4 linked regions of the Notamacropus eugenii genome follow. The protein of the gene in region 1 purifies or fractionates together with the protein of each later gene. This does not show direct contact. Links are inferred from orthologs where the notes say so. Each region holds a gene or a part of one and is shown in the gene's direction. Other genes may lie near its edges. The genes, in order: TMEM192, LAMP1, ACP2 and LAMP2.

The links.
Region 2: the proteins of TMEM192 (region 1) and LAMP1 purify together in Homo sapiens (affinity purification with mass spectrometry; 3 studies listed by BioGRID and IntAct, with this or other methods). This does not show direct contact. The link is inferred for Notamacropus eugenii from reciprocal best matches to the Homo sapiens genes TMEM192 and LAMP1.
Region 3: the proteins of TMEM192 (region 1) and ACP2 purify together in Homo sapiens (affinity purification with mass spectrometry; 3 studies listed by BioGRID and IntAct, with this or other methods). This does not show direct contact. The link is inferred for Notamacropus eugenii from reciprocal best matches to the Homo sapiens genes TMEM192 and ACP2.
Region 4: the proteins of TMEM192 (region 1) and LAMP2 purify together in Homo sapiens (affinity purification with western blotting; 5 studies listed by BioGRID and IntAct, with this or other methods). This does not show direct contact. The link is inferred for Notamacropus eugenii from reciprocal best matches to the Homo sapiens genes TMEM192 and LAMP2.

What each region holds. Positions count from the first base shown.
Region 1 is NC_092877.1:167,078,657-167,086,250, reverse strand, and holds the start of TMEM192 (transmembrane protein 192), read left to right. Parts: upstream 1-4,590; 5' UTR 4,591-4,797; coding exon 4,798-4,824; intron 4,825-6,098; exon of another isoform or gene 6,099-6,113; coding exon of another isoform or gene 6,114-6,134; intron 6,135-7,366; coding exon 7,367-7,513; intron 7,514-7,594.
Region 2 is NC_092877.1:207,901,109-207,908,598, reverse strand, and holds the start of LAMP1 (lysosome-associated membrane glycoprotein 1), read left to right. Parts: upstream 1-4,481; 5' UTR 4,482-4,881; coding exon 4,882-4,936; intron 4,937-7,490. UniProt on the Homo sapiens protein: Lysosomal membrane glycoprotein which plays an important role in lysosome biogenesis, lysosomal pH regulation, autophagy and cholesterol homeostasis.
Region 3 is NC_092877.1:3,721,579-3,728,667, forward strand, and holds the start of ACP2 (lysosomal acid phosphatase), read left to right. Parts: upstream 1-4,088; 5' UTR 4,089-4,141; coding exon 4,142-4,276; intron 4,277-4,679; coding exon 4,680-4,814; intron 4,815-5,184; coding exon 5,185-5,271; intron 5,272-5,843; coding exon 5,844-5,996; intron 5,997-6,092; coding exon 6,093-6,191; intron 6,192-6,281; coding exon 6,282-6,371; intron 6,372-6,792; coding exon 6,793-6,925; intron 6,926-7,089.
Region 4 is NC_092879.1:43,863,957-43,871,744, reverse strand, and holds the start of LAMP2 (lysosome-associated membrane glycoprotein 2), read left to right. Parts: upstream 1-4,771; 5' UTR 4,772-4,880; coding exon 4,881-4,956; intron 4,957-7,788. UniProt on the Homo sapiens protein: Lysosomal membrane glycoprotein which plays an important role in lysosome biogenesis, lysosomal pH regulation and autophagy.

The sequences.
Region 1 (7,594 bases):
AGAAAACAGTATAAGAAGCCCCATCTTCCTGCACGTGTTGTGGTCTTCCAGTAACTTTACTGGAGAGGCTACCTGTCCATTTGTAAAGATTAATAAAGGCTTTCCTGATTTCACAACAGTTATTGTTCTTTATTTAAGGTGAGCATGTTTCTCACTGTTGGGGTTTTGTTAAATGGGCTCACCTCTAACAACACCTACAGAAAGAAATATGGAGTCTGAATGCAGACTGAAGCATACATACTGTTTCCTCTTTTCTTTTTTTGGTTTATTCTTGCTTGTGACTTTTCCCCTTAGTTCTAATTCTTCTTTACCACATGACTAATATGGAAATATGTTTAATATGATTGTACAGATATATCCTCTATCAGATTGCATACTGTCTTGGAAAGGGGGGAGCAGAGGCAGAAGAAGAAAATTTAAAATTCAAAATCGTATAGAAGTGAATGCTGAAAACTAAAAATAAAATTTTAAAAAAAATTTGGTGAAGTAAAATGAAGTAAAAGGACAGATCAATCAATAAATCAACAACAATGTCCAACCATTAATTACAGAGCACTTATGATTAAATATGCTACCATCTAAAAGCAACTGAAACAATTAAGTTGCATGTTGGCCAGAGTTAGCTCTGAAATATAAATGGGTATGCACCTCCCTCCCTTGAAGTACTATGGATGTAGTATATTGCATGCATTGTTGACTTGACTGATGTCAGTTAATTTTGAGGAACTATTTTTTTTGTTATTCTTAACTATAAAGGGATGGATCCCCAAGCAGGGAAACAGGGAAAGGCCATATTGGGAAGCAAATATGATATTAAGAAGCAAAATATATCAATAATATTTGAAGAGTGAAAAAAGATGCCCTTTCTTCATCTGTTTTTCTTTGTGTGATTTGTTATATTGTCAGCTACAAGGCAATAGGCTCTTTGAAGCCATTCTAGATGCTCTGGGTCCTGGTAGACACTCTGAGAGTTTCAAGATCTCCTATCTCAGGACTCAGGGGACAGAATAAGACATACTTTTTGGTTATGGATAATGAAGCAATTTGTTTTGCTCAACTATATAAATATTTGTTAGGAGGATTTTGTTTTTCTTTTCTTTTTTTCCCCAATGTGAGGGACGGAAGAAGTAGGAGAAAGTAGATTTTTGTTAACCAAAAAAGCAATTAAAATTTACGACACTTTTCAAGAAATTGTAGGTCATGCTTACTAACTGTGTGATCCTAGGCAAATCACTTAACCTACTTGCCTCAGTTTCCTCAACTATAAAACAGGAACAATAATAGCAACTACCTGGAAGGATTGTAGTGAGAATCAAATAAGACAGTATTTGTAAAAAAGTGCTTAGCACAATGCCTGGCACACCATGGGCACTATATAAATGTTTGTTTTCTTCTTTTAGAACAAAGAGGATAAATCTTGGGGGAAATTCACAGGTGACTGCTGGGGGAGGGGAGAGATACCAGATGAATTAGAGGAAAAGTAAGAAGAAATAAGGGAACTAGAAGATGGAATGGTGGCAGAAGATAAGGGATTAAGGAAGTTTTAAAACAGGAAGGAAGAAAATTAAGACCTTTGAATTTGATTACAAAGAGACCTGTGGCAGGCAACCTAAGACAGATCTGTTGGTGGGAAGCAGAAGCCCCTTGGCTGTCAAAAACTGAGTGGGTGGTGAGACTATGAAAGCATCAGGGGTAGTCTACTTGTCTGAGACTCGGGTTGTTTAATGATGGTAAAGATGAGCAATTTTGAAAGGTCTGAGAACTCTGATCAAGCAAACCAACCACAATTCTGAAGGATTGATAAATAAGAATGCCACACCTCTGGAAGAAAAGACAATGGAATCCACTGTAAAATGAAATATACAATTTCTATATGTGGCAAATGTAGGAATTTGTTTTCTTTGGCTATATGTATTTATTAAAAGGGTTTTATTTTTAATGAATTTTTGTTATCTATCATTAGTTATGTAACAATATGATGATAAATATTTATATTTATTATCATCATAATTTTCCCCACTACCCTTCCTGCTGCTCCTCCCAGAAAGTCATCCAATATAATATTTTTAAAGAAAAAAAAATCATCATAACTTTTAACATATCCCCAAAAGTCTGAAATGTGTACAATGTACAACATGTGGGCCTCTTACTTCTACAGAAGAGTGAGAGTATCTTCTTACATGTCTTCTTTTAAGCCATGCTTATTCCAATTTTGCGACTCACTTTTTGATCTTTTGTGTGGTTGGTCTTTCCATTTACTGTTGTAGTCATTTCTCAGCTCTTTCCTCTGCATAAATCCATGTAGATTTCTTAGAATATATTCCATTACATTCATGTACCACAATTGGTTTAGATATCAATGGGCATCTACTTTGATTCCATTTCTTTGCTCTCCAAAAAGTGCTTCTATAAATATTTTGGTATATATTTGAACTTATCAATGGCCTACTTGGTATATAATCTCTGGATCAAAAGGTAAGAATATTTTAGTTACTTTATTTACATAATTCCAAACTGTTTTCCAAAATGTTTTTTTTTCAACAGGGAAGAGAGAAAATTGATTTTCGTCCATTTGAAAAAAAAAATTTTTTTAACAGATAAGTGTTGTTTGGAAGGGAAGTTGCAGTCAGGGAAACTGGAGCCAAGATGGTAGCAACAGGGTCCCATGAAGGATCTTTCAATATACTCAAGCAAGTAGAGGATAACTAGGGAATCTAAATAAAGCAGACCTGAGGAGACAGATCATCCCAAAAAAATAAGGAAAGGGATGTTGCTCTGAAAACCACATATAATCTACAAAACTCACCCAACTTTCTTATGAAGAAGCTGGATTGCCCCAAGGACAAACAATCACTTTACCTCCTTTGGCAAGGACTTAGACTCATTCATTCAAAATATTTCTCAATCCAAGCCCATCATTCTTCATTCCATAGAAGAAGGAAGCATTTAACTAGGGAGTCTTGTGAGGAGTTCCTTAAATACTCTGTTATTGGTGAGTTCTTCTTCACTCCATGAACGTGTGTGTATACACTCCACCCAGGCTACAAAGTGTGGTCTCTTGGAAACAGTAGTGGCTGTAGTGGCTATTTACCATCAGTGTGACTGGAGCACCATCTTCTCTGACTTGTCTTCATTAGGAAAGTGAGAAGAAGAAGAATACCTACATGAGACGTACATAAAGCACTTATAAACCATTAATTTACTGTTGGGTTGTTCGGGACAGGCCCTGCATTCAGGTTATTAATTGCTTTGTCCTGTAACATGGGTCCAGCCACCACCTCACCCCCCCCACCCCCACCCCCCAGCCCCCGCAGGGATTTGGGCTTTAAATAATCATCAACAACTCTTTTAATGACCATAATGATGGAGATGCTACGCTTTTTTTTTTAAGATGTATTTCAGAATCACAGGCTATTAGAAATGGATTAACTCACACTTATAAAGTGCCTTAAAAAACAGCTAACATTTAAATAGGCCTTTAAGTATATTATCTCATTTGATTCTCACAATAATACTGTTACTATCACCCCCATTTTTCAGATGAGGAAGATGAGGTTAAGACCTGTTAGGTGACTTTCCCAGGGTCACATGGGTAGTATCCAAGCAAAATTAGAATTTAGTTTTTCCTGATTCTGAAGTCCAACACATTTCCCCAATAACTGAACCGGATGGCCTGAGGTCCTTTCCAATTCCCGACCGGAATTCTATGATTTTGGCTACATGGTTACTTAGTATTGTCCTTATTTAACAGGCGATGAAGCTTAGGCTCAGAGATTAGCGGGATGGTTATTACAAATGTCCGTTTTTAACAGGTGATAAAACTGCAGTTCAGAGGGTGACTTCAGAACTCGTCCAAGTTTGCAGAGCTAAGGGTACTCCGTCTGCTAGAAGGGAGGTACTGGGGCTCTCCACTCCTTTTGTGTCGTGGGCCCCCCGGCGGCCTGGTGAGGCCTACACGCCCCTTTTCTGAATACTGTAATGCTTTGAAATACTTACAAACAAAGGGATACTGAACTAGTTAACCAAAACATTAAAAATAAATTAGCGGCACTGCACGTTAACCACTGATCTCGAGGCCAAACCCTTCCTTTTCCCGATGAGAACACCGAGGCCTGAGACACTGCGTCAGGGGCAATGGAAGCTCGGTTCCAGCCGCAGGTCTCCCTCGGGCGGGTCGCTGGACTCTCGGGGCCTCGGTTTCCCCACCTGTAAGCTGAAAGGGCCAGAGCTGCCCTCTGCGGCTCAGCTCTCTACCCAGCACTCTCGAGTCCTCCTAGGGGGCACGCGCAGCCAGGGCCGGCGGACGCCGGAAATCACGCCCAGACAACAGCTCCGAGAGACGCGGACATCGCGCCGCCGAGAGCCTGGGAATGCAGCCTACCGTGCCGCAGCCTGTCTGAGTCCAGAACCTTGAAAAGGAGAACGCGGGGTGCCAAAGTCACGGTCCAGATAGGAGAGAAGGGAGACCCGCAGCAGCTCTGCTGCGAACGTCCCCCCCCTCCCTCCGCAGGCCCGCAGCGTCGGGGAGAAGCCTCTCGGGCTCCGCCAATGAGGGCCTTGGAGGAGGAGCTCGGCCCCGCCCACGGAGGCGGGGCCTGAGGCGGCGCGGGCCGGCCCGAAAGCAGGGGAGCCTGCTCGGGGAGGCGGGCGGGGTACTGAGGGTTCCTGGCCCCCGCCTCTCCCCGCCTAACCCCACCTTCCCCCACCTTCCCCCACCTTCCCGGAGCAGCCGCGTGGACGCGCAGGTACAGACCGCGAGCCCCGGCGGCGGGGGCTTCGCCTTCGGGAGCCCGGGAAATGGCTGCGGGGACCAGGCTGGAGGACGTGAGTGCGCGCGGGGCGGGCGCGGCTAGGGGTTCCCCGCGTTGCGGGGCGGGGCCTGGAGCCCCAAAGCTGCCTTCCTCCCCCCTCCCCACCCCCTCGAGCGCTCCAGCCCGCGCGTGTCTCGCGGAAGGGGGCTCGGGGCGGCGACCACCTGGCACGGTGGAGAGGCAGCTCCGGGAGAGAGGCGCCGCCGCCGGGGGGACCGGGGAGGACCCATCTGGGGACGGGGCGGGGCCGTAGGGCCGACCCCACACCACCCCCAGCTCCTCGCTTCCGGTCCCGGAACTCGGCTTTTTCACGTGACTGCGCGCTCGACCTGCCGGCTCGAAGCGGGTTTGGGTCCCCGGAGCCCGGGCTGGGGAGCTGGAGCTGAGGCCACCGCGCGAAGCGCAGCTTTCCAAATAAACGGAGGTTACCCCGCCCCGCCCTGTGAGAAGGCAGGCCACGTGATCTTGGTTACCCACGTGAAGTCCTGTTAGCCTTGGGGGAGGGGAGCAAGAAGCGGCGTTTCATTCTGCGCTCCAAGCTCCCTTTCTGGAGGTTGGATCCCGACTTGTTTGCAATGGTCGTGGAGCACCGTTTAGATCAGTATAGCCGAGTCTTACAGCGTTCTCCTGGTTCTGCCCGCTTTGCCTCACTGCATAGAGATCTCCCCGGGTTTTCTGAAAGCCACTCCCCCTTGGCATTTCCTATGACGCAATGCCAAATTTCTTACCCTCTTCTAGGCTGCAGGTTGCTCTTCTGTACAATGAGGAACGCACACTGCAATTCATTCTCCTTGGGGCGACATGAAAGCTGGAGGAGAAGGAGCTGGGCTCCGTTATCCGCTTTGAATTGTAGAGTCTTTTATTTCTTCTGGTTTTGTGAACCAATGGGTTCGGGCCCAAGGAGCGTAGCCAAAGTAAAACTGCTTCTTTCTGTTCCTCAAAATCCTCTGTCCCTTCTCCCCCCCAAAAAAACCCACCAACATTTCCTGGGGATCATTACCCTTTTCACATCTGTCTCTTGGTTGGCCTTCTCTTTCTTTAGAACACTGATTGCTCCTGGAAAAGGAACACAAACACTGTTTTCCAGTTCCTCTCTGGGCACCATCTGGGAAAGCTTTACATGAATCTTGCTGCCCTTGGGGTAGGCACATGTGTCACTCTGACTCATTGCTTGGCAACATGCCCCCTGGATCTTTGCACCTTTACCCATTTTCACTGTGCCCAGGACTATAGGCTACACATACTTCCTGAATGAGGAGCGAGACATTTTACTCTTTGTTTATTCCTTGATAGGTGAGTGAGATGAATACCCTCTTGTCCCAGGTAATGTTTTTATCTCAGTGCATATTCACTAATGCTGTAAGAATGTATACTATCTCCTATTTTTGTGTAATTGTCTGGAAATGATATTTTTTAACGGAGGATTAATAAACTTTTTTAAAAAAGAAATAATATTGGGGGGTAAAGTGAGGAGAACGAAAACGTATTAACCTTACCTAGCAGAGTTCCAACCAGATGCCTAAAAAACTCGGAGGCAGAGTTGCATTAAACGAGATGACCCCAAAGTTTTAGTACAATAAAACGAGTAAACTTTAAAACTGTAGTAAGACTTTTGGGGATATTGTGTATGATCAGTTGATCAGTTAGTCAACAAACATTTATTAAACAATTACTGTATACCAGTAATAGAGCTCTAAGCTGAAGCCTTTCACATCCATTATCTCATTTGTGCCTCACAGGGTAAGTATTTGAGATAAGTATTTTCAGTCATTATCTCTTTTATAAATGTGGAAATTGAGGACCTGAAGTTTTGTAAGTGACTTGTTCACACTAATAAGTATTAGAGGTGAAATTTGAGCCCTGGTCTTTCTGATTATAGACCTTGTCCTCTGTTCAGTCTTCTCTTCCTATTTAGAGTGGTAAGGCTTAAAAAAAAATTGCAAATGCATACTTGAAAAATTGTATTTATCATTTAACATTTAAAAAAAAATTCCCCACCCCCCAGTTATAGTACAAACAATTTTTAACATTTTGTAAATTAAAGTTTTGAGTTCCAAATTCTATCCCTCCCTCCCATTTTGTAGAGATATCTAAACTTGTGATGTCATCACCACTAGGAGCTTCTAGTGTGGAACCTTCTCACACAGATGCAAATAAGTTCATCATCTGTAGCTTAATCTTAGAAAGTTGCCTGGCACCCTGAGAAGTTAAAGAACTTTCCCATGGTTATATACCTAATACATGTAAGACTTGAACCCAGATTTTCCTGAGCCCATGGCTCTGTTAAACCACAGTACTTCTCTTACATTATTACTCTTACATTATTGTACTTTTTCATTTGTTTATTCTTTGACTGCCAGTTCGATGGTAAGCCTTTTGAGGATGAGAAAATTCCTTTTCCTTCCAGTTGAAACTGTTGGATTTTTCAGGAAAAATATTCTTAGGATGGAGTAAGCCTCTTAATGTATAAAACACCTTTTCAAACTTCATGTTATATAACTAGTTTTGTGAATATCATCTAAGAATGTACTCATTTTTTATTTCCCTCCCTTTAGGGTTCATTGGATCTTACACAAAGTTTAGAAGATGACCCTCTTCTAGAAGCTCAGCTTCTGCCTCAGCATCCCTTGCATATTCATTTCAGACCTAGATTCCATGCCCTTCCTACTGTCATCATAGCAAATCTCCTCTTGCTAATACATGTAAGTCTGTGGGGACTTTTTTTATCTTTGGGGTTTAACGGGAGAAAAAGTGTTTAGTTCACCAAGGATTCCAGTAGAGAC
Region 2 (7,490 bases), about 41 Mb from region 1:
GTGCTGTTTCCCCCCAAAGAATGGAAGCTCCTTGAGAATAGGCACTTAGGATATTTTTGCCTTAATATCCTTACCACCTAGCATAGTATGTGATACAGAGTAAACACCCATTGAACAAATAAATGTGAAGGGAGGTAGTGCTTGACCTCTATAAATTAACATTCTAATAGGATAAACAACACAGACAAGATAAGTGTTTAGGCCAGGCATTAAAAAATCAACTTCATAAACATGAGATAGGGACATACGGCAGTCTGGGGGGTTTTAGGGTGACTCAGCAAACGTTTATTCGGTGTCAACTACAGCATAGTTGGGAAACAAACTAGGGATACAAAGGAAGCTCAGTCTAATGAGGGGGACAACATGCGAGCAACTACGTACAAGCAAAGTTATGGACAGGCTACGCTGGAGATAATCAAGCACTGGAAATAAAAGACATCAGGACAGTCTTCCTGCGGAAGGGGGGACTTTAACTTCAGCTTGAAAGAAGCCAGGTAAGCCACGAAGTAGAGATGAAGAGGGAAAGCATTCCAATAAAATGCCAGGATTTGGGAGATGAGTGTCTTATTTGAGGTACCAAACAGGCTAGTTTCACTGGATCCCAGAACACATTTGGATGTGGTGGTGCAAGGTGTAAGGACATTGGAAAGGGTGAGGTGGAGGAGGTGATGAAGGGCTGTGAATGACAGAAGACCAATCAGAAGAGTATTGCAACAGTCTAAGCAAAATCGACAAGCCTTTATAATGACTACAAGCAGGGTGGTGAAGGGGGAGGGTTGGGGAGTAGTGACCTATAGACTTTGAGTCCTGGTGACTGGGATTGATGGGATCCTAATAAAGCTGCCCTCAGCCTCAATATTTTCATTTCTTTAAAGGCCCCACTGAACAGCAGGCCCACTGTACCTACCTAGCTACTCACCACCCCTGACAAACTCAATATCCTAGCTCCTTCATATATGCCTCACTGCTCACTAGAACAACAGGTGTGTCCATGAACTCGTTATTTCTCACAGAAACTGCATATGTGTGTTCATGGGATGGGTTCCCAGCCACTTCCTCTATCTAGCCACTGCCCCCAGACCCATTCTTCATATTCCCCACAGAAAACAGCAGATGTGTCTGTGCACTCAACCACATCCCCATCCGTCTAGTCTCAGACAGGATCATAACATTCGGCTAATCAGAAAACAGCACCAACCAAGATGCCCAAGCAGGATACGGACCCCAAGACAATAGAAGGAACTTTCCCTAAGTAGGTACCTGGACAGTAGTAGTAAAGAACTTACCTTGAGTGAATTTATGACGTAGAGAGGTTTATTACAATATCATTATCATATATATGTACATATATTCCAAATGGATCTTTCTGTATGCATTGTGGGTAATCACATACACATTCCACGGTGGTTGGGACCCCTCCCCTATTATCTAATCTCTTAACAAAACCCTCCTGCCTTTCGAATATTCATAATTTCTGTTATGTAATTGCATCTTTACCCTATAAAAATCCATCTTGCTTTCTCTGAAGTTGCTGGTTTCTCTTGAAACTGAGTCTGCTTCATGAAAGGTGTCAATCTCAAATAAATGCCTATACCTGGATTAGACGTGGTCTGACTCTGAATTCTTTGATTCCACCACAACACATCATGAAACCAAAACCACAACATACTGATGGTGGTAAATAGAGATGTTAGGAAAAGGAGAAGAATGGGGCGGAGGTGGGGAGGGGGAGATTAATGAGTTCAGTTTGGGACATGTAAGCTCCATGAGGTCAGAGGCTGTCTGCCTTTTGAATTTGTATTCCTAGTACTTAGTACAGCATTACGGCTCTCCAGTTATTTGCACCTCAAAATAGCACAGTGCTATATTGTTATTTTAATGTTGGCATTACTCCTGTTCTTCACAAGGGAATTATTATTTTTTTGGACTAGACCAGGAGCTTCTTTGGATAATTTATGGTTTACAATTTATGCTAGAGACAGTGAAGGATCAAGTGACCCATGAAGGGTCACACACTCGGAGGTGGGACTTGAACCCACGTCTTCCTGGCTTTGAAACCAGTTCTCTATCCACTACTCCATGCTCTCTCCCTGCAGCTCTCTCCTACCACAAGACTAAACACAGTAGGCAATGACTAAATACTGTGGAGACCACGATCTTTCTGGTGACCCAAGTTTGCAATCTCAGAGTCATCAAGAGTAAAGAAGCCAGTGTTACTGGATCGTGTAGCATGTGACGGAGAGTAAGGCGTAAAAAGACTGGAAAGATAGGAGAAGGTTAGATTGTAAAGATTTTTGAATACCAATTAAAGGATTTTGTATTTGATCCTGGTAGTGATAGGGATGGTTCAAAGGTTAAAGTGGTGGGCTTAGAAAAGACCTGAGCTCTAATCTGACTTCTTTCACTTACTACCTATGCAAGTAACTTGACAAGTCACTTAACTTTTGTTTGCCTTAATCCACTGTGGAAGGAAAAGGTAACCACTGATCTTTGCCTAGAAAATCCCATGGAAGATATGTTCCACAGGGTCATAAAGAGTCCAGTAACAACAAGAGTAGTGATAGGAAGTCATTGCAGTTTATTGGGGAGGGTGGGGTATGAGGTAGTATGTGTGACATGGTCAAACCTGCACTTTAGGAAAATCTCTTTACAGGTTTAATGATGGATTGGGAGCAAGGAAGAGACTTCCGACAGGCAGACCCAAAGAGCCTGCACTGGCATGGTGGCAATGTCAGAAGACAGATTACCGCAGAGATGTTGCCAGGGTGAAATCGACAGGCTTTGGCCACAGCTGGGGTATGGGGGCTGAGAAACAGTGAGATGAGGATGACTCACTCCTAGGTTTGGAGCCTGAAGGGCAGAAGGATTTTGAAGAAAGATAATGAATTCTGTTTTGGACATCCATTTATTAAGTACCTACTATGTGCCAGGTACTGTGTTAAGTTTTGGGGAGCCAAAGACAAAAATATAACATCTCCTGCCCTCAGGGAGCTTATGTTCTATCACTGCTTCTCTTGAACTTGTCCCCTTTTTTCCCCATTGAAGGATCATACCCTAGTCCAGCAGTTTACCACCTCCAGTATGGGCTATGAAAAAAGCCTCCTAACTGATGTTCCTGTCTCAAGTCTCCACCTCCTCTAGGCAGCTGCCAAAGTGATTTTTCTGAGGCCCAGGCCTGACCACCACTCCCTCTCCCAATAAACTTCAGTGGCACCCTGTACCCTCTGGGATCAAATATAAGCTCCTGTTTGTCTTTTTAAAACCTTCAAAAGCTAGCTCCAAACCACACTTCCTTCCTTGTTAGCTATCAGTCACGTCTTACAGACACTTCACTTTAGCCACACCAGCCACCGTGGGGCATGAGGCTTCATCTCTCGGCCTCTGCACACAGGCCCTCCCTAGTCTGCCTCCTCACCTCTGACTCTGAATCCCTTCTTTCCTTGACAGTTCATCCAAGCTCCTCCCTACATGATCTTGGGCTCCTCCAGGTAGGCACTGTTTCTCTAGTTGTAGCCCAGGCCCCGCAGGGGGTCCTGAATCCTGCAGGATGTTCTCTTTGACATCCCAAGCCCCTCCCAACCTCATCCTTGCAGGCTCTCCACGAGGACCACCCACGGTTTCACACCTCCGCCATCTTTCTCCGAGGCCTTCCCCTCCCGTCCTGGCCTGCTCTCTGGGATCACTTCCATCACTTCCACGGCTTCCACCTCGAAGGCACGCCGCCGTTTCGCACAACGTGTCCTCCGCCGGCACCGGGGCGCCACAGACCAGGGGCCTCTTCTTCCCCCCATTTTTTAGTACTCCCCGGCGAATAAGACAGAGCCTAACACACAGCAGGCGCTTAATCCGTGCTTGTTTTCACTTCTCACCCTCCCCCACCCCGGGGCTGATGCACCACGCAGTAAACAGTTCCCCCTAAAGCCCCCATTACGTGCCGGCGGCCCGGTCCCCTCTCCCATCCCTAAGAGCCCGCGGTCAGGGCGGCGATCGGACCGGAGATCACCGGGGCCAGGCCTCCTCCTCGGAAAAGCCGAGCCGCTCCGTCAGAGTTTCCACTTCCCCATTCCGCGCCTCCCCGCAGGCCTGTCCCTTTCTCCGGCCTTTCCTTTTTCCTGCCCAACTTTCCCCGAGTTTTCCCAGTCTGCCTCTGCCCGTCACGTCCCTCCCTGCGCTCGGTGTCGGCTCCAGGGACCAGGCCGCGACCCCCGGAAGGTCAAGCTGGAGGCCGTCCTCCGGGGGGCTCGCGGGACTGGGCGCCTGCCCTACCTACCGCGCCAGCAGGAGTCACTCCCGCACCCCGGGAGTTCAGCCCAGCCCTTCCTCACCCCCACCCCCACCCCGGGGAAAGGAGCGAGAGCGCTAGATAAAGCGGGAAGCTCTGGGCGAGAACAACGAAGACGCTCCAGGGGCCTCGAGCTTTACAGCGCAAACTAGCCCGGTCTCGCCCGACCCCACAGAACACGTCATCTCGCGAGAGTTCTCCACCACCTCCCCCGCCTTCTCCGCAGGGGCTCACGTGACAGCGTGGGGGATGGGGGGCGGGTTCGCTGCGGCGGTCACATGATCGGCCAAGCTGCCCGCCGGGGTCTCCTTGAGCTGCGGTTGCTGGAGCGGCAGGGGCTTCCTCTCTCGCTGGCTGGGACGTCACTTGCCCCGCTCTACCCTTAATCCCCTTTCTCTCTCGTCTCTTCCTCCATCCGCCACTTCCTTCCCTTCCACCCTCCCGCCAGCGCGCCCCTCCTCGGCGGTTAGCAAGTCGGGGTGCCCCTCGCCGCCGCCCCCGTCGTCACTGCCAACCGCCGCCCGGCTCGTGCCCCGAGCGCGGCGCGCCCCCTCCCCCGAGGTCGTCCGTCCGTCCGTCCGTCCCTCCTCCCCGCACCCATGGCTGGCCCCGGTGGCGCCCGGACGCCCCAGCGGCTGCTCCTGCTGCTTCTCGGTAAGATGGAGGCGGCGGGGAGGGGCCGGGGCCTCGGCGAGAGAGAGGACCGGCGCAGGCCTGGGGTGGGGGGTGGGATGTGCAGACGGAGGCCCCTGCGCTGGGCCTGGCTCTCTCCCCGGCCCTCCGGGCCCGCGTCGGCCTCGGCTGGCTCCGGCCGGCGGGAGCTGCGGCGGATCGGGGCGTTGGGGGGTGGAGGGGCCCCCTAGAGACGGCCTTTCGGCGCAGACGGGTATTCGGTGACCCCCGAATCCCCCCAGTAGTGGCGATCCACGCCAGGCCCGCAGGCCCCACGGAGCGGGGCCTCGGGTCCGGCCTCTGCCGGCCAGCCACGAAGAACGTTGGAAGACGAGGGTTTAAACTGACGCGAAACTTTTTAAAGTCCTCGCCTCCTGTTTCTCCTCTCGGCGGGTCACCGGGGCTTTAAAACAGCCGGCCACGCCGGCCTCGTCCGCCGGCCCGGAGGGGACGAGACCCGCGGGCCCCGCCTGCGCGTCCTGGCGCTGGGACGCTGCGCGCTCGCCGGGCTCGCCGGGAGGCGGCCCCAGCCCGGGTGCGACTCGGGCGACTCCCCGGGGAGAGGCGCCTTGGAGCCGCTCCTTGGGTGTCGCACCCCCTTCGCTTCTGAGAATTCGGCGCGGGCCGAATGAATGTGGGTTTGGGAATCTCGAGATTTCGGGCCTCCCGGGAGAGAACGCAGACTGGGAGCCCGGTGTGGCCCCGCGGCGGCCTGGCGGTCATGAGACCCGGGCCTGGGGGGTGTGGGGCCGGGCGCTCCTTGTTAGGGGCGGGGTGATGGAGAGGCCCGTGGGCTCGTCCCGGGGGGGTCCCCGCGCTCCCCGCCCCCACTTGGGTAGAGCAAAGCCGGGGTTGGGATGTGTTCGGTGTGGGGATGCGCGTGCCCGTCCGCCCGTGCCGGCCACCTGTGGAGCGAAAGAACTTGGCTCTGCCTGTGCTGGGCCCCAGAGATGACCTGGAAAGCCTGGCATGTGACCCGCCTGAAGGAGCTGCGGGGAGGTGCTGGAGCAGTCAGCAGCGCGGCGCCCGCCGTGCGGGGTGCGGAGTGCGTGCGGGGTGCGTGCCGGCGAACAGACCAGCCTACGCGAACATGGGGGGAGAGCCGGGCCGTGGTAGCTTATTGTTGGGCTGAAATCAGAAGGGAGACCTTGGGTTATACCGAGAACCCGGGCAGCCTCTTGGAAATGGAGTGGAGATCAGCAAGTCTTATTCATCCCACCCCCAAAATGGAAGATATTGTATTTATTTCCAAGTAAAGACCATAAGATGCTACGTTGATCATGGGAGCTGAACTGTTACTTTCCCCTCAAGATATAATCCATCTCTCAACCACTCACTCCTTTTCCTGTTAAGTGTGTCCCAAAATGACATACCTGCTTGTTTTGTGCAAAGGCTAAGTCTTATTTTCACACCTTATGTTTAAAATTAATTTCTAGAATAAAATTAATTTGATTTAAATGAAATGGAGCCCAGCAAAAAAAAACCAAATCTCATTTAGACTACATTAAAGGGGGAAAAATTCTGTTCCTCTGCTGACTATTTTCATTTCTAATCTTAAGACAATTTTTTGAGTGGACTAAGAACTAATTGACCCTTCCTTAAATGACAGAGAAGTCATAATCTACCACAAGTTTATAATACCTTCATTGGTTTATTATAGTTTTTCCATCTTTACCTTTCATGCATCCACTGGGCGCGTTGCATTTTACTGAGTACTTAGATAGCTTATGCATGCGTTTACTTTCAGTTGGAAGACTAGCCAATTCAAATAATTTTGTTATAAATGATTGTTTTTTTTTCTCCCTAAGAGAAATCTAATGGACTAGGTCTTGTTGAGAGGGTACATTTTTATTTAAATTTAAATTGAAAGGCCTGAAGACTTGAATCAGTTTTTCTGCTAGAAATAGTTTTAGGATTTAGACCTGAAGTGCATGTAATTTTCAGAATTGTGTCAATGTAGATTTCATTTAATGTATACACTCTATATGTATTGTGAAGGTTAGGAGGACATCTACCATTAACAACAAATTTATGGAAGCACGTTTCTCTTACGATGTTTTCTGCCTCAAATACATTTACGGAGCAAGCAGTTATGTAATTTTGGATATTCTACTTACTTGCAGTGTGTGGTTTTGAGCAAGCCACGCAGAAATGAAATAGGTGATTTCAGCTAGGTCAGCATTTAAAAATTAAAGTACGAGATGAACTTAGTGGCTCACTTCTCTTCCTGTTGCTTCACAGACTGGGGAAGAGACTCGCTTTCCTGCCTGTTAGTTTCTCAACAATCTCTTAGTTTATCATGGAGGACAAACTTGACAGGAAAAGGAGCGAGTGGTGGAGAGATGGTTTATATCTTGAGGCAAAAAGATCCAGCAACCCTTGGAAAAAATATTAAGCTTACAGAAAGGCCTAGGGCCAATTGGGTAGATGCTAGGAGGATGGGCTCCTAGAGAGATGGGAAAAAATTGTTGGGAAGAAATACCTACCTGCACCAAAATCAGGGATTCATTATGGTTCAGAGGAGGAAAGTAACTTT
Region 3 (7,089 bases), about 160 Mb from region 1:
GTGGATGTGTGTATATCTATATTTCTACAAATACAGTGTTGGCCTATGTGTGCATGCTCACTTCCTCTTTTTACGGACCACGTGCCTGAGGCCTGGAACTGGCTCATACATCAGAAGGCAGGATTTGAACCCAGCCCCACGGGGTGACTAGTGAGGACAGGCTGATGGAGGAGCCAGGCAGGATGCTCCAGGACAGCTGTGGGAGAGAGAAGCCGGAGGTTACTCCCGGCCAGTCACCCCTGCCTCCACCCCTCTGCTTACTGCCTCCTTCCTGTTTTGCTGTGAATTCAGTTCCCATGGGTCCTACACTTTAACATGATTGGGCAGGGGGACTGGACACTGGTGCAGAGGGACAGAAAGAAGAGGGTGCTGGGAAGAGGTAAATTCTGACTTAGAGAAAGCGGAGATTTGAAGAGTGGTGGGCGGTTTGGGAAGGAAAAAGGGGCAAATGAGGCTTAAGGAAAAACAGAAAGGGAAGGGAGGAGGAAGGGCAGGGATGGTGATGAGAACAGAGGGAGAGACAGCCCAGAGAGAAGGCTGGCCTATGTGACCAAATTTGCCCCCAGAGGAGTTTTCACATGACCAGAAGCCCTTGTGACCCCCTTCCCTCCCCAAGGTCCTGCCCACAGTCTTCCGTTCAGCCTTGTGACCAGGGCTCCCATCTGGAGGGGACACCCCAGCCTCTTGCTCCCCTGAATCATCAACCCAAACTTCCCAGTCCTGGGTCCCCTGTTCCCACCACACCCCAGCAGCTCTAGAAGAGAAAGAAACCTAAATGTGCTTCGCACAGAGAGATAGACTTTGCTCTAAACCCTCCATCCCCCACCCTCTCTCCTGGCCCCATCTGAGGCCTCCTCCTTTCCTCAGGCTTTCTGATTCTGCCTGAAACGCCCAGAGCTGGTCCAATCCAATTCAGCAGATTTGTTAAAAATGACAAAACGTCATTGATACCTCTGGGTTTTCATCCCATCCACCAATCTCTCTCTTCCAGAGCACAGTCTTCCATCCTCCAGCACAAAGAATAAGAAAGAGGGAGGAGGCCTAACTTTCTCTACCACGGTCCACGCCTAGGATCTCCCAACCCCACCAGAAGAGGGGAAGGGGCTGCCTTGTATGTCTTCTTGGGGGCCAAGTCAACAAGGCCCATGTGCCATGCACTATTCTGAGTGCTGGAGGAACAAAGACTAAAATGAATCAGTCCCTGCCCTCAGTGAACTTCCATTTGGGAGGATGGGGCTACATTCTTCTAGTATCTCTTTTCCTCCCTTTCTCCATATTGGAATCTTTTGGCAAGGTTTTTCTGCTAGATTTGGGGGGATCTTAACCTGGTTTGTGCCATACACCCTTTCGGTAGTCTAAGTGAAACCTTTTTAAAAGTGTAAAATAAAGTACATTGGATTACAGAAGAAGCCAATTATATGCAGTTATCAAAACAGTTGGAAAAAAAAGTTCAAGGACCTCAGGTTGAAAACCCTTGTGCTCCAGGTTTGAAACCTCATCAAACATCTCTCTTTGGCCATTCTGGGCCCCCAGGCCTTTTCCTCACAAGTACTGTTGAACTCAGCAGGCTTGATCCTGTCCACACTGCTACAGAATATGCCAAACATTGTCCCATCGTGTAAACCCCAAACAACTTCCACCCCAGGACCGAGACCAGAACCAGCTCTGCTAGGCAAACATCACGGGACAAAAATCTCTCTTCTGGGGAGTCTGCTCCAAGGAATTCACAAACTTCCCAGGGCTATAGGAGGGAGAGAGTTAAAGGTGGAAGAGACTTCAGAGGTCACCATCCCCATTTTACAGATGAAGTGGGGAAGTGATTTGTCCACAGCTAATAAGTAGAAGAGCTGAGATGGAGCTCCTTCCACTGGGCCTAGCTGCTGGGTGAAAGGCAACACCCTTAGGCAACGCCTCAGCAGAAGTACCAGATTCTGGCACTGATTCCTCCCCGGAGGTGGCCCTGGCTAGTAAGGGGAGCCTCCGCCGAGCCCCAGGTCCCAGCCTGCAAACCCTGGCCCCGTGGCACAGTCCTGTCAACCTACAGGGGCCCCTACACCTGGGGAGGCGCTTTTTCTCTTTGACACCAATACCTGAGTCCTTCAAAATTCAGAAAGAAATATCCTAACATCGCATCAGAGCCCCTGACTAAGCCTGGGGGACAGCTCTCATCTTTACTTTGCAGATGAGGCCACTGAGGTTCAGAAAGTTTGTGATTTCCCCAGGGCCTCCAACTACAAAGGATCTGAGGGAGGGTTGAGAACCAGTTCAGGCCTCAGTTCATCTTACCACCGCCTCTCTGTGCATCTGGGCCTCCCCTAGAGACCCGCTGCCCCCCAAGAAACAAATCAGGGACGATGATGCTAGAATCCAAGGGTGCGGGGTGCCCCCTCTCTTCTGTTTCGTGACGGGTGGGGTACCTCAAGGGCTTACTCTCGGGGCTCAGTGGCAGAGTCACTGACCACTGGAAGATGGGGCCCTGTTTGCAGTGAGGGGGTACTGAGAAATCTGTGCTGGGGCCAGTCACCAGCCAGGCTGGGCACTTCCCAGGGCACTGTGCCAGGAGCCCCAGGCCCCAGGTACCCAGGCCCCCAGGCGGGGCTCCAGGCCCCAGGTACCCAGGCCCCCAGGCGGGGCTCCAGGCCCCAGGTACCCAGGCCCCCAGGCGGGGCTCCAGGCCCCAGGTACCCAGGCCCCAGGCCGGGCTCCAGGCCTCAGGCCCCAGGTACCCAGGCCTCAGGCGGGGCTCCAGGCCCCAGGCCGGGCTCCAGGCCTCCAGGCCCCAGGTACCCAGGCCCCAGGCCTCAGGCGGGGCTCCAGGCCCCAGGCCCCAGGTACCCAGGCCCTCAGGCGGGGCTCCAGGCCCCAAGTACCCAGGCCCCCAGGCAGGGCTCCAGGCCCCAGGTACCCAGGCCCCAGGCCGGGCTCCAGGCCCCAGGCTCCCAGGCCCCAGGTACCCAGGCCCTCAGGCGGGGCTCCAGGCCCCAAGTACCCAGGCCCCAGGCCGGGCTCCAGGCCTCAGGCCCCAGGTACCCAGGCCTCAGGCGGGGCTCCAGGCTCCAGGCCGGGCTCCAGGCCTCCAGGCCCCAGGTACCCAGGCCCCAGGCCTCAGGCGGGGCTCCAGGCCCCAGGCCCCAGGTACCCAGGCCTCAGGCGGGGCTCCAGGCCCCAAGTACCCAGGCCCCCAGGCAGGGCTCCAGGCCCCAGGTACCCAGGCCCCAGGCCGGGCTCCAGGCCCCAGGCTCCCAGGCCCCAGGTACCCAGGCCCTCAGGCGGGGCTCCAGGCCCCAAGTACCCAGGCCCCAGGCCGGGCTCCAGGCCTCAGGCCCCAGGTACCCAGGCCTCAGGCGGGGCTCCAGGCTCCAGGCCGGGCTCCAGGCCTCCAGGCCCCAGGTACCCAGGCCCCAGGCCTCAGGCGGGGCTCCAGGCCCCAGGCCCCAGGTACCCAGGCCTCAGGCGGGGCTCCAGGCCCCAAGTACCCAGCCCCCAGGCGGGGCTCCAGGCCCCAGGTACCCAGGCCTCAGGCGGGGCTCCAGGCCCCAGGCTCCCAGGCCCCAGGTACCCAGGCCTCAGGCGGGGCTCCAGGCCCCAGGCCGGGCTCCAGGCCTCCAGGCCCCAGGTACCCAGGCCCCCGGGCCACGTGGTAGAAAAGGCGGCTCTCGCCCTCCAGGGGACAACTGGCCTGGAAGGGCTCGAAGCGCTTCGCCACCACGCCCTCTTCCAGGCCCAGCCCTTATTTAACAAACGAGGGCATTAAGGCACGGGGCTGGGCTCGGCGGGGGAGGGGGAGTGGGGGGCCCATGCAGCTAATCCATCGCGCAGGGGCACGGGGGCGGGATTGGAACCGGGAATCGACCTAGCTCCTTCCGCTCCGCCCCGCCCCCAGGGGGCGCTGTCCTCGGCGGCCCCTCCTCCAGCCGGAGGCCTCGCGCCCTTTCCTACGCCCCTCCACCCCGCCCCCCAGGCCCGCGGCCCGCTGGTCAATTTCCCTCCTCCTTCCTCTGACCCGGGCTTCCTTCTCCCTCAACAAAGATGGCTGCGCGGGCGCTTCCTGTGGGAGCTCCGGGCCGCGCGTCCGGGCCGCTTCGGCGACTCCCCGGCTAAGGTTCCGGGCTCGCGGGCCCCTCAGTAGGCGGCGGCGGCGATGGCGGGTGGACAGTCCGGCAGCCGCGGCTGGGGATCTCCGCCGCCGCTGCTCCTGGCCAGAGGCCTGGGCCTCCTGCTGCTGCTGCTGCCGAGGCCGCCCGCTCAGGCCCGGAGTCTCCGCTTCGTGATTTTGGTGCTGAAGTCGGGGGGCGCAGAGCCGGGGTCTCCGCGGGGTCGAGGGGCTGTGGGCTCGGGGTGGGAGGGGGGCTTCGAGGCTAGGGATCGTCAGGTCGGAGTCGGGGGTGTCTTGGGCTGGGGAAGAGTGGGGGGCCGGGGAGGAGGCTCCGGCGTTCCGGGCGGACCTCTGCGTAAGCAAGGGGCTCGCTCTGGGCGCAGGGGGTCTCCGGGTAAGGATCGATATTGGAGGCCGGGGGGGGAGCCGGGCCGGAGCGAGGGAGGAGGCTTTCGGGGCGTCACCCCCCGCCCCCCCGTGACGGGGGCCACCCCAGGACCTTGCTCTGCGGGGAGGGCGGGGGGGTTCGGGTAAAGGGGCGCCGGGAGTGAGGGGCTACGGCGCGGTTCTCCTTCTTCCTCAGCTGTACCGACACGGAGACAGGTCCCCCGTCAAGGCCTACCCCAAGGACCCCTATCAGGAGGGAGAGTGGCCCCAGGGCTTTGGCCAGCTGACCAAGGTCTGTCCCGGCGCCCCGACCCTGGGACTCTCACGAGTGGTTCGTTAAATGACATTGATTTCCGTGGGAACCCGTGTATTGTGTTCTATGCGCTCAGAAAGGTTCCGCAGAGGGGTCTCTAGGTTCCCCCAAAGTGCCCCGGGCATGTCGTGGACGCCAAAAATAAGGAAATGGCTAGGACCCTAGGTGCTAGGTCCAGCTGCCTGCAGAGCAGAGCTGGAGGATCTGCGACCCCTCCTCCTGACCAGCTTAGATCAGGGGCACCCTTATCCAGCTCCCCCCACCCATCTGGCTGGACCGACTGACTAGGGGTGCTGATCCACTCAGTACCAGTCCTTCCTTGGGCAGAATTAGAGACCAGCAGAGTCTAAGGTTCCCCGGCTTGACCAGCCCTTGGGTCTGCCTGCAGGAGGGGATGCTCCAGCACTGGGAGCTGGGCCAGGCTTTACGGCGGCGCTACCAGGGCTTCCTCAATGCCTCCTACCACCGGGAAGAGGTGAGCCTAGGGATCCAGACAGGGAGGTTCTGGGAGGGCTTCTGCCTCTCTCTGCTTGGCACCACCTGGGGGAGCTTTTCCAGTACAAGGAGGAGAGAGCTCTCTAGGCTCACTGCTCCATTCCGTCCTTGAGGGGAGGGAGCATTTCCATCCATGTGGCTCCAGACCAGGAAGGAAAGTTGCCAAGCACCACCACCTCTGAGAAGGAAACCTCTGCACTGGGAAGGTTAATCAGAGCCACTTGATCTGCTCTCAGGTGCCTTGGGGGATTCCCCCTGCCTCCCTGGCCACAGCTGGTGGTTGTGAGCCAAGGGCTAGGTAAACCACAAGCCCTAAGGAAATCTGAGTTGTGAGTGCAGCTGGTCGAGGGACCGTACCCTAACGACAGCTTCTACCCCAGGTTCTCCAGTGTTGCTCCACTCTCCCAAATTCTATTTTTTCCGGTCTGCTCCTCTTATCACAGTAGTCCAAGGCCGGAGGAGTGCCTACAGCTGCTGGGAGGTCTGCTGTCCCAAGGGCCAAAGTCCTTTCCCAGCCACTCTGACAGAGGTTTGCTCACTTTTCCTTGGCAGGTTTACATTCGGAGCACAGACTTTGACCGCACCCTTATGAGTGCTGAGGCCAACCTGGCTGGACTCTTCCCTGTTGAGGGGGCACAGTCTTTTAATCCAAATATCACATGGCAGCCTATCCCTGTCCATACAGTCCCTGAGGCCCAGGATAAGGTGAGGCTGACTGTCCCTTCACCTATAAGGACACTCCCTCCTCCTCATTTCACCAGTCACTGATCCTTGCCCTGCTTTGCTCCCCTCTGGCTACAGCTGCTGAAGTTCCCACTGGGCCCTTGTCCTCGGTTTGAGCAGCTACAGAATGAGACTCGCCAGACCCCTGAATACCAAAATGAGACCGCTAAGAATGCTGTAAGTGGGGTTGAAGGTGGCAGGAAGTCATGATGCCATCAGCCCACAGGAAACAGGGTGACCATGACCACCTCTGGTTTACCTTCACAGCAATTTCTGGAGATGGTCGCTAATGAGACAGGTGTCACAGACCTGACACTAGAGACAGCCTGGAACATCTATGACACTCTTTTCTGTGAGGTGTGCAGACCACAGACCCCAGGGTTCCTCCTCCAGGGGCCTGGGTCATTAATCACAGGCCCTACGCAAGGGAAGAGGCCTCCCACCACCTACTGAGGCATATTAGGGGAGCGGACACAACTTCCCCTCCCAGGGCTGAAAGAGAACCTCCAAATGGGAAATGGTTTCCTAACTGTCAGCAGTTCTTATGTGACTCCATATTGCTGAGTCAGACTGTCTGTATGGAAGCTTCCTCTTCTTGTCTGCCCCACCACCCAATCCCCAGACATACTGGCTGCCACCCTGGTCCCCGGGTCTCATCTCTCTCCTCTTTCCCCTCCCCTCCCACATGAGCGCATGTACTCACATAGCCATTTGCCCATTTGGGATCCCTGGGCTCCTTCTAACCCACCTTGCATTAACCTGCCCATATGGTATACAGCAAACTCATGACCTGCCCTTACCGACCTGGGCCTCGCCCCAGACTATGCAGCGCCTTAGGCAGCTCAAGGATCTCAGTTTCCGGTTCCTTTTTGGGATGTACCAGCCAACAGAGAAGGCCCGGCTTCAGGGAGGTGAGTGACAAGGAAGGCACACCACTCTCCTCAGAATCCCTCCAAAGCTCCCCTGGTGTCTCTGGCTTCTGTGCCCAGACTCATCTGCCAGCACTTGTCATATGTAAGTCCCATCTTCACAGAGCTGCTCATCTTTCCCATCCATTTCTTCATCTCTGAAGAGC
Region 4 (7,788 bases), on another chromosome or scaffold:
TCAGTTTCATACATTATATTTATCTAATTTCTCACCCACCGTGTCATGTATATATATGTATTTGGTATACTGGTCAAATAATCAAATAAAGGGATTTCCAAAAAAGAATTATAAATTCTAAATGATCACACAAAAACATATTCCATCAACTCTGAGGTTTTGCCTTGCCTGGGAAGACTGACAAAGATGTCAGACAATGGGAACAGTCAACATTGGAGGGACTGTGGGAAGATAGAGCCATCAAGACATTCTTGGTGCAGCTGTGAACTTGGATTTCAATTTGAAATTATTTCAGGAAAGTTACTAAAAATTCCCATTCTGGGGTGAGGAATCTGTGGCCTTGAGGCCACATGCGGCCTTCTAGGTCCTTAAGGGTGGCCCTTTGAATCCAAATTTCGCAGAACAAATCCCTGTTTGGATTTGTTCTGTCAAACTTGGACTCAGTCAAAAGGCTGAGGACCTAGAAGGCCACATGTAGCCTAGAGGCTGCAGGTTCCCCATCCTGGCCCATACCCTTTGATTCTCAGATCTCACTACTGGCTCATACTCCAAAGTAGTCAGACAGAAACAAAGGCCCAATATCTAACAAAACAATAACAGCAGCACTTCTTGTGGACTAGAAATAAAATATGAGAGCCCAATGATTGGGGCATGCTTGAAAAACCAATGGCATTTGAATGTAATAGAATATTGTTGTACAGTAAGAAATGACAGATATGAAGAACTCAAGAGAAACATGGGGAGATTTATATGAATTGACTGAGTCTAGCCTCCTCCTTTCACTGCTGAGGAATCTGGAATACAGTGACTTGCCCAGGATTATATAGCTAGCAATTATCTGCAATAGAATTTGAACTCATCTCTTTCTGATTCTACACTCCGTGCTCTAGTCATTTATTGAACTGCCTAAATGGCACTTAGGTTGGGTACAATTTTTTCCATTCTGGGCCTCAGTTGCCTCTTTCATAAAGTGAGGGTTGGGGACCAATGGTTTCTAAGAGCTATTCCAGTTTTGTTGTTCTAGCCACTCCTCAGCTAGAATTAATAGTAAATTAATACTCTGCTAGGTGGTGCTGCAGTGGATAGAGGGCTGGGCCTCTAGTCAGGACTGCTCAACTTCCTGAGTTCAAATCTGACTTCAAACACTTACTAGCTGTGTGACCTTGGGTAAGTCACTTCACTCTGTTTACCTCAATTTCCTCATCTGTAAAATGAGCTGGAGAAGGAAATGACAAACCTCACCAGTATCTCTGCCAAGAAAACCCCACATGGGGTCATGAAAAGAAGGACATGGCTGAAAAATTACTTAACAACAACTTAAAACAACACCTCACACTTGGACTACTTCAATAGCATATATTGGTCTCCCAGCTTCAAGTCCATCTCAGCTGACAATTTAATTTAAAGTAGAGGTTTCACCTCCCCCCATTCAGTAAACTCCAGTGATTCCTTATAACTTCCAGGTCCAAATATAAAATCCTCTGTTTATTTTACAAAGCTCTTCACAACCTGTTCCTACGTCTCCCATCCCCCCACCTCCGCCCTTCCCAGTCTTCTTAATTTTACTTATCCCTACGAACAGTGGCATCGGCCTCCTTGTTGTATCTTGTATATGACATTCAATTTCTGGATTCTGTACATTCTCTCTGATTGTCCTTCATGCCTAAAACATTCTCCCTCCTCATCTCAGCTCCTCAAGTCCCAGCTAAAATCTTACCTTCTATAAGAATCCTATATTCTTCTGAGATCATAATAGTAATCATTAATAATAATTAACATTTTATATATGTTATATAACATGTCAGGCATGGTACTAAGTACTTCATAATCCTTATCTCTTTTGATCTTCATAACAACCCTAGGAGGTAAGTACTATTATTATCCCCATTTTACAGTTGAGGAAACTAAGGCAGACAGAGGTTAATGACTTGCCCATGGTATCTCAGCTAGTAAGTGCCTGGGGCAGGATTTGAACTTAGGGTCTTGTTGACTCCAGTTCCCCATCCACTGTAGTGCCATCTAGGTACTACCTGAACATTACCTCTGATTAATCCTATCTGTAGCTTGTTTGTACTCAGCTGTTTGCACATTCTCCCCCCCATTAGACTTCGAGCTTTCAGAGAGCAGGAACTGCATTTTCCCTTTTGTTATATTCTCCAGTGGGATGTAGGGTGTGTTCAGGGAGGACCAGTACCTTGGTGTGATGGCTGCCGAACCCTTTCTGGGGCTCTTTCCACCTTTGGTGTTCACCTGTTCCACCTAACTCTCACCTGTGGCTCCAAGAAGCTGCAGCACGCGCAGCAGCCACACACAGGTAAACTGTTTTGGCAGATGGGTCAAACCAGGTTGGGGGTAATTAAGGGTTCTCAAACCCATTAGTGAGTTAGGTGGGGTGTCTACCCCAAGCGTGTGAATACTCCCTCTGGTGGAGTGGGTGAATGAGAACAGTTTGTTCCAACGGCCATGAAGGCAGATGAAGCAGGTGATGTGGAGCCCTTAGAGCTTGGTTAGACGCTGAAGACAACAAGGTCGTCCACTGCATCCTGAGCCATGGCCAGTCATCTTGACACTGGAGAGAGTGAGGCTGATTACCGTGCAATTCTGCCTCACTTAAATCCAATTTACGCACTAATCAAAAGACATCACCCATACCATTTCACTATTATGCTTCAAAGTCCTGTGGCGACAGGCAAGTGATAAAGCAGCAGATGTGGATACACTGGGAGCTGTAATCACAACCCTGCACACAGATGGCCCAGGCCACAGGGTTGTTTCTCACTGGAAGCAGCCATGGAACTCGGCAGCTCCCTGGATGTCTGAGCAGCCTTTTAAGGATCACACTGCTCACCTCCTGGTGTGAAGAAGTGGCTACAAAAGGTGCCTTAAACATTATCTGCTTATCCAACCCTCGCCTGATTACCGTGGCAGGCAGGGAATCCCACTATGCAGTCAAAACACAAAAAAATGTACAAAATGTATGAAAACATCTGCAAAGATGATTCCACTCACCATCGGCGCATGGAACATGCGCACACTAATAGACAGCACAAAATCCAGTAGACCTGAAAGAAGACCTGCTTTGCCACATATTAAGTGCCTACCAGTGGATTTTATTGATCGATTCCCCCAGTCAACAAACATTTATTGAGTTTGTATCAAGTATAGGGCATGCTACTGGGCTCTGAAGGAGATATAGAGATAAATGACACAATTCTTTTCCTGTGGGTTCACAGTTCATTAGTGATGCTCAAATATGAACCCAGATAACTCTACTACACAATCATATAGACATTGCATATGAGGAGAGGAAAAAAGTGTTCCTCGATGAGCACATCTGGGCTACGGAATAGAGAGCACTGGCTTTTGTGTCAGAGAACCTGGGTTCAAATCTCACCTCGGATACTTAACTATTTGTGTAAGCTGAGGTAAGTCACTTTTCTCCTGGCCTCAGTTTCCTCATCAGGAGACTGGACTAGATGCTCTCTGAGGTCTTTCTATCTCTGTATCTTTGATATAAACAATTGCAACGAATAATTTTGATTCAAGGCAACAGAAGATGAAAGACACTTCTCTCCTCCAGAGAGGGTATTGTACAAGTTTGTGGTTGCTTTGTGAGTTTTGTTTAAGTGCTCTTCTTTGTTGCAAGGGAGGGCTCAACGCAGGGTGGGGAGGAGAAATATGTAAGAAAATGACTATGATATAAAGAAAAAATCTACCAACCCACCAATCAAAAAAATAAAATAAAAAATGTGGGAACTGGCCAAACCTATCCAACAGTAAAGGGAGGAGGATGGGAAGAAGCCCTTATGAAGTGCCTACTTTGTGCCAGGCACTGTGCTGAGTGCTTTACAAATATTGTCTCGTTTGATCTAGAGCTGCAAGCCTCCTTGGAGCTCATCAGTCTGGCCCCATCCTTTACAGATGATGAGTAACTGAGGCCTGGAGAGTTGAAGTGATTGGTCCAAGGTCACACCTGGGACCCTAGGTCTAGAGCTGAAGGGACCTCAGAGGTCATATGGTCCAACCTCTTCATTTGACAGCTGAGGAAACTGAGGCCCAGGGAGGGGAGGTGATTGGCCCAAGGGTTAACAGCTAGCAACTAGAAGAGCTCAAATTTGAACCCAGGTTTTCTGCCTCTAAAGTTCACTGCTTTTTCCACTACACTCCTAAAGAGGCATAGATGGAGCTGGTGGGAGGAGGCCATTTGAAGGTAAGCGCTAGTCTAATTAGACTCTGGAGCAAGAGAGGAAACGGAGACCTAAGACCCATCAAAGATTTCCACTAGAGCTGGGTTGTGGAACTCACTACACTAAGGCACCCCTCTTCCTCTTGCCTCCCACAGTTAATCATTCACAATACACATTTATTAAGCGGCTACCAGGTACCAGGCACTAGACTAGGTGCGGGACACAAAGGCGAGGTGGTGGTAAATTAATCCATCCTTCGATCATTCCCCCTCCTGGCTCCAGTCTTTCTTTCCGGCCCTCCCTCTTCCTGCCGCCCCCCGCCCCTCTGCCTCTCCCCCGCCATTTACACTGGCGCAGCGGACCTGCAGTCCAACTGCCGGTCTGCTGTCTAGACGCTAGAGGGCGCTCTCCACGGTCTCCCTGCCCCCCCCCCCCTCAGGGCCTCCCCTCCCTCCCTAGCTCAGCCCACCCACAGCCTAAGCCCCGCCCCGTAGTCTAAGCCCCGCCTTAGCCCCACCCACCACTGTTCTCCTGCCTGCTGATTGGTCGACGGTAGAGCCTCGCCCTACTTCGTCATAAGAGCCGGGGTCGAGCATCTCTGTCTTATAGCCCGGCTGCCTCCTGGCTTTCGACCATACGACGCTGCGCTGCGGGGAGTTTGGTTGCTGCTGCCGCCTCCCCGGGGCCGGGACCATGTCGCGCACCTGCCGCCTTCCCCTCTCCCCTCTCAACCGGGGTTCGGCCTTTGCTTTGCTTTGCCTCTTGCTGGGTGAGTGGCGGCTGGCTAGGAGTTTGTGGGGACCGGGCCCAGCGCTTACCCTGGCTCTGGGTCCGAGGCCGAGGCGCGGTTGCTCGACAGCGAGGATAGTGCTTGGGGAGGGGGGCTGGGGCCGGGACCGGGACCAGAGGGAACCCGGGGTGGGGGGAGCGACCTGGCCCTTTGGAACAGGGGAGAAAAGGAGCTTGTGGGATGAGGGAGGGCGGCTACTGAAGAGTGAATAAGAATGGGGGTGGGTTGGGGGGGGGGCCGAGTAACTATGGTGAGAGGGGAGGGGCTGTCGTGAAAGAGTAACCTCGGTGGTGAGGGTGGGTAAGGAGTGACCTCATGGGATAGGGGGCTACTGGGTGGCTTAAAGAGTGACCAGGGTGAAGGGGGGGACGCGATCATAGGAGTGACCTAGATGGGAATGGAAGGGAGGGGGGAGGGAGAGAGGTGTACAATTGAGTGGTGACCTAGGAGAGAGATGAGGCTGGGGGCTTTGGACTAACCTTGATGTGTGTGTCTGGGGGGAAGCAGAGGAATGACCAAAATCGGAATGGAAGGTATCAGGGGACTGAAGAATGATGTAGGTAGAATGGGGGAGGAGGGGTTAGGGGGCCAAGGAGTGAACAAAGTATGAGTGAGATGTTAATTCAAGGGGGACTTGGACCTGGTGGAAAAATGGTATGGTGGTCACAACACTAGGACCAATTTGAACCCAGATCCTGAAACTGAGGAGACTTTAGTGTGAAGTGAATTCTTCAGTGGCTAGGAAAGGAAACACTCCACCTTGAACTCAGTTGAGGTGGTTTCCCCTAACTTGAGTTGAATTTAGGGACCCTATCTGCTACCTGGGTTCTCAGTCTATCTGTCTCTTTTCACCCTCCCCCCCCCTCATGCTATTATTATCTCCCAGGGATACTTTATGAGGAAAGCATTCCAGAATTCCATAACTAACTTAGCACAGACAGCCTCATATAGAGGAGGGTGTAAGTTGGTTTTTAAATGAGGGTTGGAGGGGAAAAAAAACAAAGTTGCCATAATAAATTTTGTATATGTATTTTACTGGTAGAAGAATTAATCTTTTTTTTGAAGAATTAATCTTGTTGTTCAACCTGTTTAGCCCTCTCTTCATTTGCCCCCAGAAAAGTCCCAATCTCTTCTTTCCCCTCACTTTCTAAACTCTCCTGTAAGCCTTAGGATGGAGCATCCAAGTTCTATGAAATTTAAACTGTTTTAGATGAGCAGTTCCAAGGACTTTGAATTCAGAACTTCACAAAAATGCTCACTGACAAAGATCTCTGTAAAGCCAATTTGGATGGGAGACATATACTCCCATCTAGTTGAATACTGGGGTGGTCATAGATGTTTCCTTAGGAATATGCAGTTAGAGGGATTAATGAATATGTAGGCACTGATATGTAGGTCCTCATATCAATTCTTAGGTATGACAATAGCTAAGAATTATCATGATGAATTTTCTAGAAAGACTTTGGACATGAATGAGTACTTTATGGTCTTCATAAAGTGAATTTCTTTTCCAATGATTTGCTTGAATTCCTTTTGGAACATAGGCATTTGAAATGACTTGTTTATTATTTAGTCAAGTAATCATTTAATCCTCATATCTTGTATGTGTTTGTAAGGTTTAAAAATTTTTTATTAGCTTTTTTTTTTGTTGATGAATCATTTTAACTTCAATAAGTGAGACAAAGCAACATAAATCATCCCAGTATAACTAAACTTTTGCCAAGATTGTGCCTTCATATATAAGCATTCTTTTATTTGTGCTGGGTCCCCCACCCCCACCCCATAAATTCCTTATAATAAAGCTATCCTGCCCTTTCTTCCCTCCCACCCTGCTTCCTGTGGATCCACTTTGCGATATTGCAATAGATTATACTTCTAGACCTTGGTTCCTGGCGCCTCTGACATGGGCAAAACCTTCCTTTCATAATCTTATATTCAAATGATTAAAGATTGTACTGATATGAAATGGTATGCTATCTGAGGGAGTCAAAGCTGTCTTGAAGTAGATTGCCCTGGAGGTTGACCAAATGGAGGACTCTTCGCATGGTGTGGGTTTCTTTCTTTTGCTGTTTCTCAGAATGAACAAATATTTGATTGAAAAAAAAAAAAGACTTTTAAACTCTGCATTTTTAAAATCATACTGCTATTCAAGCTTCAATCATAAAACACCTAACAAATGTGTCAGTCCCTGGGATGTGGGTACAGTCCTGACAGTGAGTGAAAGGGCACTAGTTAATTCTCTCATGGAGAAACTTTCTCTCTTTTGATTGAAGATTAATCAGATGGGGAATCACATGTCAGTAGAGTCAAAGATCCTTTATGATTTCTCATCATATATCAAAGTTAACGTCGGCTTGGGGCAAGAATCCTAGGCTTTGGGGCAAAAGAACAATTGTTAGCAGCAAAGTTGCCTTTGAGGAGTTGGTACCATGGAGTAAATCAGAATAACCCAGTAGAGATTTGCTACAGAGGATCTTCTTCTGCCTCCATTTCTAGTTTTTCTATAGTCTCTAGAGCAGAGATGGGACCTAGAGAGCCACATGTAGCCTCGAGGCTGCAGGTTCCCCATCCCTGCTCTAGAAACTATGAAAGACTTATATTTCTGAAAGATATCTTTTGAGAAATTCATATTGTAATTTGATTTTTAAATGTTTTTAAAAGCTCCTCTCCCTTTACTGTTTCTTCGTCTTTGCCTACTCCTCTTTTTTTTCTAATTAGAAAATAAAAAGGACAATGTTGGAATAGTTGTATGGGTTACAGTTTGCTTGCTGTCCTGGAGTATGGAGGTGGGAAATTGACCTTAGATCCCTA